Arabidopsis thaliana: one gene and its partner. The protein of the gene in region 1 interacts with the protein of each later gene in a pairwise test. Each region holds a gene or a part of one and is shown on either strand. Other genes may lie near its edges. The genes, in order: AT4G38520 and SAUR19.

What was found.
Region 2: the proteins of AT4G38520 (region 1) and SAUR19 interact in a two-hybrid assay, tested with the Arabidopsis thaliana proteins (one study listed by BioGRID).

What each region holds. Positions count from the first base shown.
Region 1 is NC_003075.7:18,015,061-18,024,079, reverse strand, and holds AT4G38520 (Protein phosphatase 2C family protein), read left to right. Parts: upstream 1-5,579; 5' UTR 5,580-6,132; exon of another isoform or gene 6,133-6,397; 5' UTR 6,398-6,565; coding exon 6,566-6,884; intron 6,885-7,024; coding exon 7,025-7,392; intron 7,393-7,482; coding exon 7,483-7,719; intron 7,720-7,802; coding exon 7,803-8,081; 3' UTR 8,082-8,460; downstream 8,461-9,019. Other genes in the region: AT4G38540 (FAD/NAD(P)-binding oxidoreductase family protein), read right to left, coding at 1-124, 205-367, 456-518, 599-745, 814-893; PLC1 (phospholipase C1), read right to left, coding at 1,182-1,496, 1,572-1,802, 1,871-1,988, 2,087-2,475, 2,561-2,696, 2,782-2,978, 3,064-3,372. UniProt on the Arabidopsis thaliana protein: Dephosphorylates and represses plasma membrane H(+)-ATPases (PM H(+)-ATPases, e.g. AHA1 and AHA2), thus influencing negatively plant growth and fitness.
Region 2 is NC_003076.8:5,960,493-5,967,439, reverse strand, and holds SAUR19 (SAUR-like auxin-responsive protein family), read left to right. Parts: upstream 1-4,034; 5' UTR 4,035-4,134; coding exon 4,135-4,407; 3' UTR 4,408-4,667; downstream 4,668-6,947. Other genes in the region: SAUR20 (SAUR-like auxin-responsive protein family), read left to right, coding at 860-1,135; VDD (VERDANDI), read left to right, coding at 5,967-6,068, 6,355-6,643, 6,747-6,947. UniProt on the Arabidopsis thaliana protein: Provide a mechanistic link between auxin and plasma membrane H(+)-ATPases (PM H(+)-ATPases, e.g.

The DNA of each region.
Region 1 (9,019 bases):
CAAATCCATGGCCTTCCGGAAAATGTGTGAGCCCTCGGATTGCTAACCGGGCAGTTGTAGCGGGATTTTTGAAGCCTAGCCACTTACCAACCACTGAGTACACTCCATCGCACCCTACCAAAACCTGCATTTCGTTTAGAAACCCTACAATTCCGTAGCAAGACCAGGCCTCACATGGTTTACAGAGGACAAGTAGTTATTTACCTTGGTTTTGAGAATGGTCCCGTCGGAGAGATGAACCTTCTTGTAGCATCCAGACAATTCAATATGAACAACCTTAGACGAAAACCTGATGGTCTCTTCAGGCAACTCACCTGCTAGAGCCTCTAACAACAGCTTCCTCTGTACGCATCGAGACTCATATTCTCTGACAAAATCATTCAACAATATTATTGAAGTTATCTTATTTATTGTTTTAACATTCATATGCTCTGTGCAGAGAAGAAGAAACATACTCGGATTCTGGAAACAGCATCTCTGTGGGAGGAGTTCCTGCAGAAATTGTTCCAACCACCCATCTGCAGCAAAATCAAAGATGAGTCCCCTTTTTTACTGAGCTGATTATATATGAATAGTAATAATAGTGTTAGTTTGATACCCTTCAAGGCGATCATGGAGACTGCGAATATGCTGAGAAACGCCGAGAGCTTCCATGGCCTTCCAAGCATTGAACCAAGTGGTAAATGCAAATCCTGTCGCTCTCAGTGTCTCCGAAGATTCCAGCACCATGCTTCTGATCCCAAGCCTGTGACACACACCACTTTAGTTAACTTACTCTGCTTAATAACAACTCAAAAGGCACGCCACACACACCTGTGTAGTCCAACAGCGGTGGAAAGGCCGGAGATACCGGCGCCAACGATGATGATATCTGGGCTGCCTTCTTCTTCCATGGTGCGTTGATGATCTTAGAAAGAAAGCTCTGTTTTTCTTCCTCTCTAGTATTTATTTTTAACTTTCAAGTAAACAAAAAGAAATGTGGTTGAAGTTGGCAAGTCAAACAAGGCACCCCGTTCTAGGCAGGCGGCTACAGTCATCAAATATCGAATCTTTAATAGTATTTATATGTTGTCACACTTTATCCCGTTCTAGCTAGGGCGCAAATAATTGTACATTATAAATTTATAAACGTGCAAACAGAGATACACACTGTGTGGCTTATTTCGGAAAGAAAACGAGATTCAACGAAACGTATAAGGAGGATCCAAGGCGAAGCTGACGAGAAGCCTCGTGTTCTTGTAGGCCTTGCCTGTTCGATCGTGAAGCCGGACGGCTCTAACTCCGGACTTCAGTTCCGGCAGAGGAAGACATGTCTGTCCTGCGAAATCATTCTGGGTGTCATTGTCGTAGTCTTGGACTTTGAACCACAGAAGCGCCAGTTCTGGAACAGACAGCTGAAACAGGAACTCGTCGTTGCCCCATATAGGAAACCACTGATCGACAGCTGTTTCCGTTCTGTATGAGACCGTGTCTCTCGGTACTCCTGCTATTCCAATCTGATGCAGCAAATGCAACACACACACAGTTACGAAGAAATCTAGTTTAAAAGAAGAGTAGTAGTTGTTGTTTACCTTGACGAAGAAATCTGGAGGAGAGTATTGATCAAAGTGTGTATGATGGAAATCCAAATCCCATCCTTCGCCAGTGTAAATCTTAACCTTAAGAGTGGTCTTAATGGGAAACCTTTTGCAAGGGTCGAAGAGTGTGTGCTCGTCTAGCAAGATGCGAGGCTTTTTAACGTACCCACATCCACCATTCCCCCTGAACATTCCTTGCATTATCCATAGTTGCTTCCCATGTCCCTTTTCAACACAAATATTATTCAACCATTTTTTAACAAGTCAAACGATGATGAGCCAGTTCCACTTACTTGCATGTTAAAAGCAACCATTTGAGCACCGTGTGTCCACCCAACATGAGGATCGTAGTTTGACGAGTCCACTCTTGTGCCCTTTGGATATATCCTCACCAGATTCCTCTGTGTAAACCTGTTTTTGTTTTTTTTCAAACTCTGACTCAGGTTCATCTTATAACTCTTGAGTCGAAAAAGGTTCAACATTATGACTCCTCTCACTCTATATTTTACCTGACAAGATCCGTTCCTCTGGTCCTAACCATAGTGTCTAGCCACTGCTCGTCCATGCTGACCCGTATAGGCTTCTCTGGATCATCACTCAAGCAATCCTTTGAAGGATCTTTGCAGTTTGCAGCGTGGATTGCTATCAAGTCTCTATATCCTACAGCTTCACTCTCCATATCTTTATATTCTTCAAGAATCTTGTTCGCTACTCTGTTCCACGAAGTCTCTTTAACCGTTGGAGTTCTTGTGGTGTGTACAGTTTTGCTCTCAAGATACTCCTTTGGAGGCTTCGTAGAGATCAGGATCTTCCCCTTAAGTTCTTCTGGTGATGGAAAATGCTTAAAACTCTCTGAGACACGACGAAACAGCATCCCTCTGTATGTTTTAGTTAACATCTACAAACATAGAATCAATCAAATTTGTAAATCACTCTTTTTCAGAGAACGAAATATATACTCTGTTTCTGCAAAACCAACTTACCTTAGCAACTTGCGCTTGAAGCTTGGGTGGCAAATGATCTTCGAGAGTGATGATGACTGGATAGTCAGACACATGAAACGCGTTATCCTTAATGGCGGTTAGACATTTCTGCAAATCTTCATGCGAAGTAAGCGTCCTGATGAGAGAACCAAAACACATATAGTGTGTGACATTTTTTGGAGTCTGTTTGTTGATTATAAGACTTCGTTAGTGGGACCAACCTGCCATGACGAACTTCAGCAGCGTTCCCTGAAGGATTAGGCCATAAGTCGAGCTCGATCACTTTTACGCCTTTTCTGAGAGCCTGCACGATCGGTTCTACGCTGCTTCTGCTGTTCACTTGGTTCCCAGTCAAGTAAGAGTTATGTCCCGTGTACACAAAGTAATGCGATAACGGCGCCTTCATGTCATGATGCACCTTAACCCAACCAAGAACATATAATATACCCAATTACAAAACCATTTGTGAAATAAATCCATAAAAAGTTTCCAAACTTAGATACCTGGCCAGACATGGGAAGAGGAGAGTTGGTATCGCTGAAGAGGTAGCGATAGAAGGCGTTGAGATGAACAAGTCCATGGTGATGAAAAACGTTGTGGTGTTTAACGCTGTGGAAGATATCTTGCACGTAGTCCAACCCTGCGTGCCGTTCTCCTTGGACTTCACTCACAAATCTTAGAAGCTCATCGAAAGACATCTTGCCGTTTCTTGAGTAAGCTTCGAAGAGTCTCTTGATGCTCACTGGTGGCTGCCTCGTTTTCTCCTTAAAGCTTCTGCTGCAACAGAAGCACACTTTGAAACTCTCCGACATTCTTCTTCTTCTTACTTGTTAGTTCTGAGATCATATATTACACACACACATAAGTTAGCGTATATGATATGAAGCAAACAAAAGTGATGAAGAATATATGCTCGTGTTATCATCTCAAGGAACGTGTCTCGCTATTCCAATTACTTAATTATTCTTATTTTGAACTAAATTTGTTTATTTATGGCTATAAAAACCTTATAAAAGATTTAAATACACTTATATATGCATGGGTCCGAGGAAAACATAAAGGATCTATTAAACACTTTGTCACGTCTTTTCTAATGGGGATATATACTGGCTTTTTGCGGTGCAAATAAAAGAGACCACTTTGAGCAGCATCAAATCTATTAATAATTTTGTAAGATTAAACTTTTCAAACAAATCATCAACTAGCCGTAATATATCTAGTAAGAGACAATAATTCATTTTGAGTGATATTCAGTGGATGTTATCGTAACCATATTTGGGTAATACGATCCCTTTGTCGGTCTTTCCCATGAGTCATATGTGAAATAGGTTCAGGGCATCAGAGAAGTTACATTGGCGAAATGATGCATAATATAGTATATCATGTTACATGGGTTTTTTTTGCTTTGGTGATTTTCAGAGATCGATGCATGATATATTATGGGTTTGGGATCCATGTATCATGAATGATTGACGTATACCTAAACCTAATAACTAAATTTTACTTCAACATATATATCATCAACATGATTTTTTTTTTTTCTTTTTTAACATTCTTATCGTTATTTTTAATTAAAAGATAGTATTCGTACATAACTTTGCATTATATTTTAAGTTCTACTATTTAAGAAACCTATATAATTTGTTTATAATTACCGTAGTAGTAAATTTACTAAAAAATTCTAGCTTAGTAGTTGTGATTATGATCTTTTTTTAAAAGATATTTTTGTGAAGTAAATGTGAAGGGTTTATATATACACGTTCATATATAAGTGAAAGTATTGGCATATTGGGAGATGATTGGATAACGAAGTTGGTCCTGAAGTGAAAGGTTCAGAGTGGTTGGATTTTTGTGTGATTGATGGAAGCTATGTTCTGTAAGTAGGGACCTTCTCCACAGTCCACACCACCCTTTTCTCTATTTTTAGGTCTCCCTTATTATTGTTATCTTTATAAATCAATTTTTGGTTATGTAAGTTCACATATATTGACACTCGGCGAGATACCATGGGAGCATGCATGATGGGAAGTATATACATTTGTTGGTGAAAAAAGTATGAAAAAGTTCGCATATACATCAATTTGGTCCCGCAAAATTAGATTATCTAGAACTTAGTGATAATTATCGTGGACGTATTCATGTTTTAGAAGCAGGCTTTTGAGTTTCTCACTTAATTCATAGTTCTGTTTTTCTTTATTGAGCTGAAATTTTTATAGTTGATTCTTCTATTATTGGTACTACAAAAGTATAAATAACTACAAAGAGTCGATGGGGAGAAAAGGGCCAAATTTAGTGGTACATACATTAATATAAAATTAAATAATGTTAGGTAAAGTGACATATCTCACTTTATCCCAATCACTTTCGGGTCCCAAATTTTTTTAAATATTTGTTATTCAATTTTTCATTCTTCAAGCCCAAGCCTCTTCTCTATATATTTTTTTAAAATTTTAATCTCAGGGTCCTGGACCACCACTTTTATGGGCATTAAACGTTTGATACAAATTGTGTGGGGAAATTAAAAATGAAAGATTCATGAATCCACATATATTATTTCTAGACTGTACATGTATTTTATTTTATATGCACACTGCTTAAAATCTTGATTATAATTTACGAGGAGTAGTTTTAACGAAGAAAGAAAAAAACACATGGAGTAAGTAAAAGAAATAAATCTTGGTGACAGAAAAACAAAAGTACTCGTGTAGTTTTATCAGTCGTAGTCATGTAACACCGCCACATAACCAAATTTTATCGAAACCGTATATTTTTACTCTTCTTTGATTTGTGTTAAGAGATTTTATTAAACGTTGAAGAAAAATCTTCCGTTTGACCCCAGTTTATGATAATGTCTAAAGTAAAAGAGTTGAATATTTTTAAAATAAAGAGGAGACTTGAATGAATTATTATATCAATAATATCAACTATTTTATTTTCTTCCCTAAAAAAACTGTAATATTATTCTTTGCCACTGTTTGGTGTTGTCCATCTAATGAGGCAAAAAAGGACGAGAGGGAAGTGGAGCCCGAAAGCTGGGACCTTTGATGTGCTGGCTCCGACCTCGCCATCGTTGGTCTTTTATGGGTCTTGTCTGGTAAGAATCACTCTTAGTCTTAAGACTATAGAGAGAGATAAAGAGAGAAGATAAAAAAAACAACTCCAACTTTCTTTCTTTTTTTTACATAAAAACGTCGAAGGAGGATGTCTCGTTCGGCGACTTGACCTCTCTCTCTCTCTCTCTTTTACCTTCATTGTTCACTGTTTCCAGACATTGAAAGAAAGATCATTAGTTTCTGAGGGGATAACCATTTTTTTTTCTTCTTAAAAAGTTTTTTTTTTTGTCAATTGGTCTTCTTCTTCCTCATCCGCTCGCTTATATTTAATTTAATAATAATAAAAATCGGTGTTCATTTTTATATAAAAGTATAAATTTTGTGTTTGGTTGATCCATCCGTAGTCGTAGTAGATCTACAAGCTCTGAAATTCCACGCCCACATCTCCTCCGTCCTCTTGAGATCCTTCTCTTCATTCATTTTCTTGCTCAACTTGAGTTGCTTCCAACATCTTGCAAGGTAAAGTTTCCTTTTTTTTGGTAGCGAATACGAACCAGTTGGAATCTGCCGCATAAATCCTTTTGTTTTTTTTTCTTGCTTGCCGCATCACTAATTTTGCTTTCTTCCGATGGTTTCCTTACTTAAAGATGTTAACTTTTCAATGTTGCATCAAGTTTCTTAGATTGTTCAATCACTAGACTAATCAGTCTCACTATAATCTCCTACAGATTCATTTCTATTGCCACTCATAACAATTGAGTTTTCTCACTTTTTTGCTCTTTAGATTGTCTTTGAGTTCATTCAGGTCTTGAAGAAGAGCACTCTTTTAAGCTGTGTGAAACTTGCGCCGTTCCTGTGAAGAACTACTTTTGGCATTGCAGATTTCAGAGAGCTGTGATTTGTGCTATCTTAAAAACGGACAAGTTCTATGTTGTGGCGGATGAGATGAGGGATGCTATCTGGGTTGATGAATTTTCTGAATGCCTGTCTCTGGCCACGGTCAGATCAGCAGGCTCGTTCTGCCTCAGATTCTGGTGGCCGCCAAGAGGGTTTGCTCTGGTTCAGAGACTCCGGCCAGCACGTCTTTGGTGACTTCTCCATGGCCGTCGTTCAAGCCAACAGCTTGCTAGAGGACCAGAGCCAGCTCGAGTCTGGCTCTCTTAGCTCCCACGACTCTGGTCCCTTTGGCACCTTTGTTGGCGTCTACGACGGCCACGGTGGGCCTGAGACATCTCGCTTCATCAATGATCATATGTTCCACCACCTCAAGAGTGAGTCGCTCAACCTATGCTTTTAACTCTTGTTTGGATTAGCTAATCTAGAAAGGAAATATAGAAGCATTTCTCTAATAGCAGCACTAGTCCAGAAAATGGTTCTAGTTTTGATCTCTCATCTTTTATGTTATGCACAGGGTTTACTGCAGAGCAACAGTGTATGTCATCAGAGGTGATAAAAAAAGCGTTCCAAGCCACTGAAGAAGGCTTCTTATCCATAGTTACAAATCAATTTCAAACTAGACCTCAGATAGCCACAGTGGGATCATGCTGTCTTGTAAGTGTCATCTGCGATGGGAAGCTATACGTGGCCAACGCAGGGGACTCACGGGCCGTTCTGGGACAAGTCATGAGGGTAACAGGTGAAGCTCATGCCACTCAGCTCTCAGCAGAGCACAACGCATCTATAGAGTCAGTGAGACGGGAACTTCAGGCCCTGCATCCGGATCATCCAGATATTGTGGTTCTGAAACATAACGTCTGGCGAGTAAAAGGCATCATTCAGGTATTTAATAAACTAGAGTTGGACTAAATCTGTTTTTGTATGTCTTACAATTCCTGTTGTCTTTCTGAGTGGCTTTATGACTATACTCAGGTTTCAAGATCCATTGGTGATGTGTATTTGAAAAGGTCAGAGTTCAACAGGGAACCACTGTATGCAAAATTCCGGCTGAGGTCACCGTTCAGCAAGCCATTACTGAGTGCAGAGCCGGCGATCACGGTGCATACACTGGAGCCGCACGATCAGTTCATTATATGTGCATCAGATGGACTGTGGGAACATATGAGCAACCAAGAAGCAGTAGACATAGTCCAGAATCATCCGCGAAACGTGAGAACACACACCCCACTCTGTTTGTACTACTAGACTATATATAAAGAATGCACATAATAATAAGGACTCTTTAATGGCAGGGGATAGCAAAGCGGCTGGTGAAAGTAGCGCTACAAGAAGCGGCAAAGAAGAGAGAGATGAGATACTCAGACCTGAAAAAGATAGACAGAGGAGTGAGGAGACATTTCCACGATGACATAACAGTGATTGTTGTCTTCTTTGATACAAACCTAGTGAGCAGAGGAAGTATGTTGAGAGGACCAGCCGTGTCAGTGAGAGGAGCGGGTGTGAATCTACCTCACAACACCCTGGCGCCTTGCACCACGCCCACTCAAGCTGCTGCTGCTGGCGCCTCCTGACTATTGAATTTTTACGGTGTCCTTAAAATTCTTTCCAAGATCCTTCCTGTAACTATATATAAATATATATATTTGATTATTATTATCATTGACTGGGAAAGGATATATCATCATCAAGTGGGAAAGGATATATCATAATCAAGTGGTTAGTTTTGTTTGTTCCCTTTGTTAGCTGTGTACTGGAGAAAGAAAGGTGACAAGAATTCTTCTTCTTCTTCATTAATTTTCATTGCTTGCTTTTTAAGGTATTACTGATTCAGACTAGAGAAACTCAGCTTATTCTCAGACCATGGCCTTACAAAACACATGGCCTTTGGTATGCAGTTGTGTTCTGAACCAATCAATAAGTCTCAGCTCTCATATAATCTCGCCTGAGAGTTTTCAACTTTTCTTAAAATGAAATTTTTAGATTTTTTCTCTCATTATTAAATCTCTCGGAAATGCAAATAGCAAAGAGTTTAACACATATATCAATCAATACTTGATTTATTCTTTTCTTTTTTGAAAAAAAATAAAGAAAATTATTAAATTTTGATAAATACTATTTTGTATTAATTACTAATTAGTAAACTTATGATTTTCTAAAAGACCATAATTTTCTGTAAAATCTAAAAATAGCGGGACAAAATAAATCTTACCAAACTAGGTTTTCTTATAACTTAGGTGTTTTAAATAAAATAAAAAAATCATACCAAATTAAGTAGAACGTTGGATATGTTTTTTTTCTCTTCAAAAATTTTAAAGTATAAAGATGAGAAAATGATTAATGTGATAATATGGGAAAGTAAAAGGCTATAAATGTAATTAGCTGAAAGTTATGAAACTGATTGAATTGAAATCGGTGGTATGTATGTATAGTCCACCAACATAGATCTCTCTCTTGCTGTGGCTCCTTTCTTCCTCTACACAGATCTTTGGATTCAGAAGAAAGAGGTACG
Region 2 (6,947 bases), on another chromosome or scaffold:
TCCGCAAGAAGGAATAACTAACAGTAGTTAGTGAGAGATAGATTATTCAATGTAAATACTTCATCTTGCTGTCATAGATATAATGTGTAAATACATTCCTTATCACCAAGAGGATTTGCTTAAAATAATGAAGATTCTTGATCTTGACCTTAAGGCTAACATCATAGTGATTTTCTCACCGATGTTTACACTTAGGTACTTAAGTTGCTTCAAAGACAAGCAAGGCATGGAGGATCTCATTACTGTAATACTGTTGCAAGAAAACTAAAGGGGTATATATTTTGATGATGTTTTCTTTATTCTTTTACTTGATTTTCGTGTGTGGTTCTATTTGTGTATATCATAAAAAAGGAACAGCTTAAAGAGTGATGGAGACATGTTGTTCTGTTGTTGAGAAACTTCAGGTCCCCACTTTTAAGTTGTTATTAAATCCATTTAGACCACAGAGAATCAAAAATAGGATCATCACAGAACATGGAGAAGAGAAACTTGCTGGTCTTTTATCTAAAAACATTGAGAAAACAGTCCCTTGTGAATTGCATATGGATTTTGTTTTTAGTTTAATGTCCCACAATCAATTAATTATCTCATCAAGACAAACTGCATTAATGCATCTTTTCCAAATGGTAGAGACAGAACCATGTTCTCTGTTCTAGTCTGTCCAACACTTCAAGACCACAAGTTTCAATGATTTTTTCAGAGAGGTTTCAACTCATTAGTAGTTGATCTTTCTATATATACACTCATAAACCCATTCTTTCAATCATCAACAAACAACAAGCAATCCAATAACTTGAATCTTTTCATACATCTTCAGAAGATTTTAAAGAATTTAATATTCGAAACAAAAACAATAGATATGGCTTTTGTGAGAAGTCTATTGGGAGCAAAGAAGATTCTAAGCCGCTCCACCACAGCAGCCTCGGCGGCACCAAAAGGGTTTCTTGCAGTGTACGTAGGTGAGAGCCAAAAGAAGAGATATCTGGTGCCAATCTCATATTTAAACCAGCCTTCATTTCAAGCTCTTCTCAGTAAATCCGAGGAAGAGTTTGGATTCGATCATCCAATGGGTGGCTTAACGATCCCCTGTCCTGAAGATACATTCATCAATGTGACTTCTCGGTTCCAACGATGATGAGCCAACATTTTTCTTCCTAGTTAGAAATAGACTTATTCATTGTAAATACATGAGCTTTTTTCTCTTTCTTCTTGAAAGAGTTGTTCTAAAAGTTTAGAGAGTAAATGCCATCTTTATGCAACAGAAACGATTCATGTCAATACATTTTTGATCTTTCATTGAAAAATGAAAAGATAACACCAATGACCAAACCAATTGGAACTACTCTAATGATAGTTTCATGTTGATTAAGTACAATTAAGTGGAACATATAACATCCGGATCCGTGGCGCAATGGTAGCGCGTCTGACTCCAGATCAGAAGGTTGCGTGTTCGATTCACGTCGGGTTCAATTCCCCGAACTTTACTCCGGATATTCTTTTTAAAAAAATCCAGACTTTGCCCTTCGCTTTCATTCGATAAACTAAACACAACTGTTTAGGGTTTGAAGAAAGTAAAAGTGTGTTTGCGATCCGCCATGGATTCAAAGAAAGAGAAAACGGGAGGGATCATAGGAATCTTCTTAACCCAAAATGCTGCTTCCTTGGCACGAAGCTTCTACGCCATGTTGTGTATTTTGATCTGAAGAGAAACAGTATAAGAGAAACTAAGTTTAAAGGAATTGTAGGAAACTCAAGGGATTTGGATTTGGTCCACTCAATGATTTAGATGTTTTCCCAAATCACATTGAGAGTCTCTTGTCCTTGTAAGAACATTCACCGCTCGATGCTAGTTCTTCATCATTCATTTATTAGATTTTGAGATTGTTTGATGATGTCTTTAGGTTTTCTTGTAATGATTTGTAATTATTCCTTAATCTCAAGATATTTATCCCAGCATGTTATATAACAATGTGGATAGTGCAAACTATTGTTGTAGTCTGTATAAACAGAGACTGCTCTGTTTCTAGCATTTTTCATGCGAGCCACGTTTGCTTATTCATATTCAAAAACGGACAAAATCAAGCAGAGAATCACAATCAAGAACAGAACTTGCCAGCCATTTGCTTATTACTTCTCTGGCTTTTTATCATGAGATCCAATGAGAAATGTTTTGGAGAAGCTCAAGGTTGTGAAGATGATGGTGTAGGTGGCCTTGTTCCATGGCCGTTGGTGTTGAAATATGTCTCTTTATGTCTTTGAATTTTCCTCTGTCTGACAAAGAATGGGCGTGTTTAATTTTGAAGGGTGTTACTGATGCTGGTGAGTTTGTTTATACGCCAATGAGTGTGTATGAATCCTTCCATGTGGTGTATTTTGATCCAAAGAGAAAGAGTATTAGAGTAACCAAAATTAAAGGAATTGCAAATGACCTATATAGACGACTTAAAGGGCTCAGACTCGATTCTCTCAATGATCTCGATGTTTTCCCAAATAACATTGAGAGACTCTTGTTGTTGTAAGATCATTAATGGCTCAATGCTATTAATCACTTATGCGATATTAAGCTTCTTTGATTTCCTTAGGCTTTTCTTGTCATGATTTGTGATCATTCCTATGGTTTTACTATCATAACATGTTATAGAACAATTAATGTGGATACTGGATACTGCATGCAGACTATTGCATAAGATCCGTAAAACCCGAGACTGGTCTGTTCCTAGCATTTGTCAAGTGAGCCACGTCTCCTTCTTCAAATATTAAGATCAGGACGTACGACAAAAGCAACCAGAGAAATCACAACCAAGAACCACAAGCAAATGTAGCGAACTCAAACCCTCATGAAGTCTAGTTTAGCTTATCGTTGCTCGTCTTTTGTATCCACATTCATTTATCACGTTAGCATCTGGACGACAAAACCATCTAAACTCTCTTCTTATGTGTCCACTCTTACATCCACAAGTTTCAGAAGATTTCCGAGAGGCTTTTAAATTCGCTCAGGGAGTGCTAAAAAGGGTTTCTTGTAGTATACGAAACTCTCAAAACATCAATTCTAAGATGTGAGAAAGTGAAAAAAAATTGGTTATTAAGTGAGTGTCTTTACTATGCAGGATCATATTGATATACATTTTTGGTTATATTCCAAATATAGATTTTCATAAAATAATAGTTTTACATAAAATAGGTGTTGAAACTGTCCTTTTGCTTGTAGCCTCTACAGAAAAGCCGATAATCTTCTTTGAACTCAAGAGGCCTCTGAACAAAGCCATTTCTTGAGTCTGGAAAATCTAAATTTGAAGCTTCTGAGAAAAAGTTAGATGCTCAAAATTTTGAGGTCTGGATTGCTTCACTACTTGGTGAAGAGTTGGTTCTGTCTCTGGATGTATAAATAGATTGATAAAAGACTTCAAATCACCCTGAAACCATTCAAAGTAGGGGTGAGACATACACAAAGATAGTTTCACATGGTTCTGTTTTTTAGGTATGATAGATGACAAGTTGACAACGGAAGCTAATGAGCATTATCATCACTTCACAAGGGTCTGTCTTCTCCATGTCTGTATAATAAATGAAGAGAAGAAGTGAGGTATTCAGTCTCTTTTAGTTTTCATGTGTGGATATAATCAAAGAACAACTAGAGAGTGACATTGAATTGTTGTTCTGTTGTTGAATAACATTCAGGTCCCCACTTTAACTTCTTAATAAATCCATTTCGACTGCAGAGATTAGAGTACTATAGGACAAAGAACCAACCACCTAATCATCACAGAACCTGCTGTCTTTGTTCTTGCAAATATAGGGCACGTCTTATCTCAGAAACATTGAGAAAGCAAGCCCTTGTGAAATTTCACATGGAGATTATTTAAGTAGATAAATTTCATTAATGCATCTTTTCCAGATGGTAAAGACAGAACCATGTGAACTCTTGCTCTAGTCTGTCCCACGCTTCAAGACCACAGTTTCAATGACTTTTTCAGAGAAGTTTCAAATCGTTCATTGATATTTCTATATATACACCCATAACCCCATTATTTCTATCATCAACCAACAACAAGCATTCCAATAACTTGAATCTTTTCATACATCTTCAAGAGCTTCATAATAATTCAAACTTCTTTTATTTAAAATAAAATAAAAATGGCTTTCGTGAGAAGTCTATTGGGAGCAAAGAAGATTCTAAGCCGCTCCACCGCAGCAGGATCTGCGGCACCAAAAGGGTTTCTTGCGGTGTACGTAGGAGAGAGCCAGAAGAAGAGATATTTGGTGCCGCTCTCATACTTGAGCCAACCGTCATTTCAAGCTCTGCTCAGTAAATCCGAAGAAGAGTTTGGGTTTGCTCATCCGATGGGTGGCTTAACGATCCCTTGTCCCGAAGATACTTTCATCAATGTGACTTCTCGGCTCCAATGAAGATGATCCAACATTTTTTCCTTCAGTTAGAAATAGACTTATTCATTGTAAATACATGAGCTTTTTTCTCTTTCTTCTTGAAAGAGTTGTTCTAAAAGTGTAGAAAGTGAAATACAAAATTAATGTTATATACAAACTTCATGTCAATACATTTTTGATCGCTCATTGAAAAAGAAAGACGACACCAAATTCATCAATCAAAAAACTACTCTAATTATAGTTTCATGTTGATTAAAAACAATTAAGTGGAACATCTAACATCCGGATCCGTGGCGCAATGGTAGCGCGTCTGACTCCAGATCAGAAGGTTGCGTGTTCGATTCACGTCGGGTTCAATCCCCCGAACTTTATTCCGGATATCTTTTTGTTTTACCTGCTTATTTCCAATTTTTGCCTTTTGATGCACTACCCCCGGTTCGGGATTCTTGTTACTCTAACCGAGAATTTCAGATCCGGTTTTAGTATTTGTTTGCTACTCTGAATTAGACGGAAACAAATAACAAATGACCACTTTTAACTTACACAATTTATCAGTGGCTGGCTCTTACGTATAGTGTGGGGGTTACATTTAGTTGATGTCTCCAGTGACATTTGATTATAGTTTTCAAGATATTGTCAAGCAAAAAGGAAAAGAAATTTACTTTTGAATTCCAAACTTCTGTTTGTATTTTATTCTATAAATAACATTGCTTTCTCCTTCCAAATAATAAAGACAAGTATACATTGCCCAAAAAGGAAAACTATAGAGACACGCACTAGTTAGGGTTGATGTGGACTGGATCCGATCCCTTTCTTCAATGATTTATTGATACGTATCTGTTACGCTGAATATACATATATGCATGTTTCTTTTGGTATTTTAGAGTACTAATGTATATTCTATAGTTTGATCCCAAAAAAAAACATGTATAGTCTGTAGTATTTTTATTTTTTTAGCTAAGTTTTCAAACATGTAGCTTGTATAAAGTTAATAGGGGTATGTGCTGGACACAAGTCTACATTCTACAGACTAGCTAGTAAATATTAGGAATGAGGTTTTCAAATGGGTGATTAACCAAAATTTGCCGTGAATGTATTTTAGTACAGTATAAGTTAATTAATAGTTTATGCAACCAAAAAAAAAAATATGGAAATATGACGCTGTCTTTTTAGAATTCAGTTACTAAAAATAGGAATTTGCTCTGCTTTTTACGTGTCTGGGAAGTCACGAGCATATTGCTGTTTCTGTGTATCATTACGATATCAAATTACGAATCACAAAAGTTTAATGATTCATGGGAATCTTTTCCAACTAACCACAAGTAAAATTAATTTCAAAGTTAATGCAGAAAAATAAAACACTTTGGCTGTTTTTAGAAATTAAAGTTTTAAGAGACCTCTCTTTTTACCCATTCTTTGCCCACAACCAGAGAGAGAGAAAGAGAAGTAGCGAGTGAGTGAGATAGAAAAGTTGAAAAGAGAAGATGCGAGTGAGTGACTGAGGAGATAGAGTGAAGAGGATTAAAGAGTTAAGACTGAGAGGTTTTGAAGAAAGATCATATCGAAGGAGAGAAGCAGAGATGGTGAAAAACAAAGCTTTTTTTGGTCAGATTATGGAAGAAAGAGATAATCCAGCATTCTTCAAGATTCTTCGAAGGGAAGATCATTCGACTGAAATGATGGTAAGCCTTATCACTTATTTTCTTATTAGCCTTTTTTCTTAAATTAAAGATCGAATCTATTGGTTCTTCAGTGTGTCTCTTGTAGTGTCCTGAACTTAGATCTGTCTGTTCTTGGTCTTAACTAAGTTTTGATGTGTGAAATGATCGGATCGGACCAAATGGATTTTGACTGTACATCGATCAGTAAACTTTTATTTACTGTACTTATCACTGAAATTGAGGAATGTGACTTCATTTTACCATTTCCTGATGTTCCATATTTCTTGATTTTGTTGCCTCTCTGAAGAGAATGATTCCTCATCACTTGATAAGAAGCATCTCCGACAAGTCTTCATCGTTTAAGATGGTCTTAAGAGTACCATGGGGAAGGTCATGGCAAGTTAAAATCTCCAAGAACCCAAATTTTCACTACATGGAAGATCGTGGATGGAACCAGTTTGTGAATGACAACGGTTTGGGTGAAAACGAGTATCTTACTTTCACTCATGAGGCAAATATGTGCTTTAATGTAACCATATTCGAGGCAGATGGTACGGAGATGCTTAGACCAAGAAAAACCATTACTTCTAGTTCCGGTAAGTGTTCATCATCTATGTTATTGCTTTCTTTATGCTTAAGAAGAAGAAGAAGAAGAATACAGTCATTAGTTACTTCTGTGGTTGATTTTGATGCAAACAGGTCGGAACAAGAGAGAAGAGAGGAAGAGCATCTACAAAGATGTGAAGAAGGAAGAAGAGATAGAGTCTTGGTCTGAATCGAGCCATCCTTGTCACAAAACAGCTGAATCTACAAGTGGGAGATTGACGCAGAAACAGGAGCTTAACTTGAGAAAGAAGGAAGCCGATAAAACCGAAAAATCCAAGACGAGTAAGAAGAAGA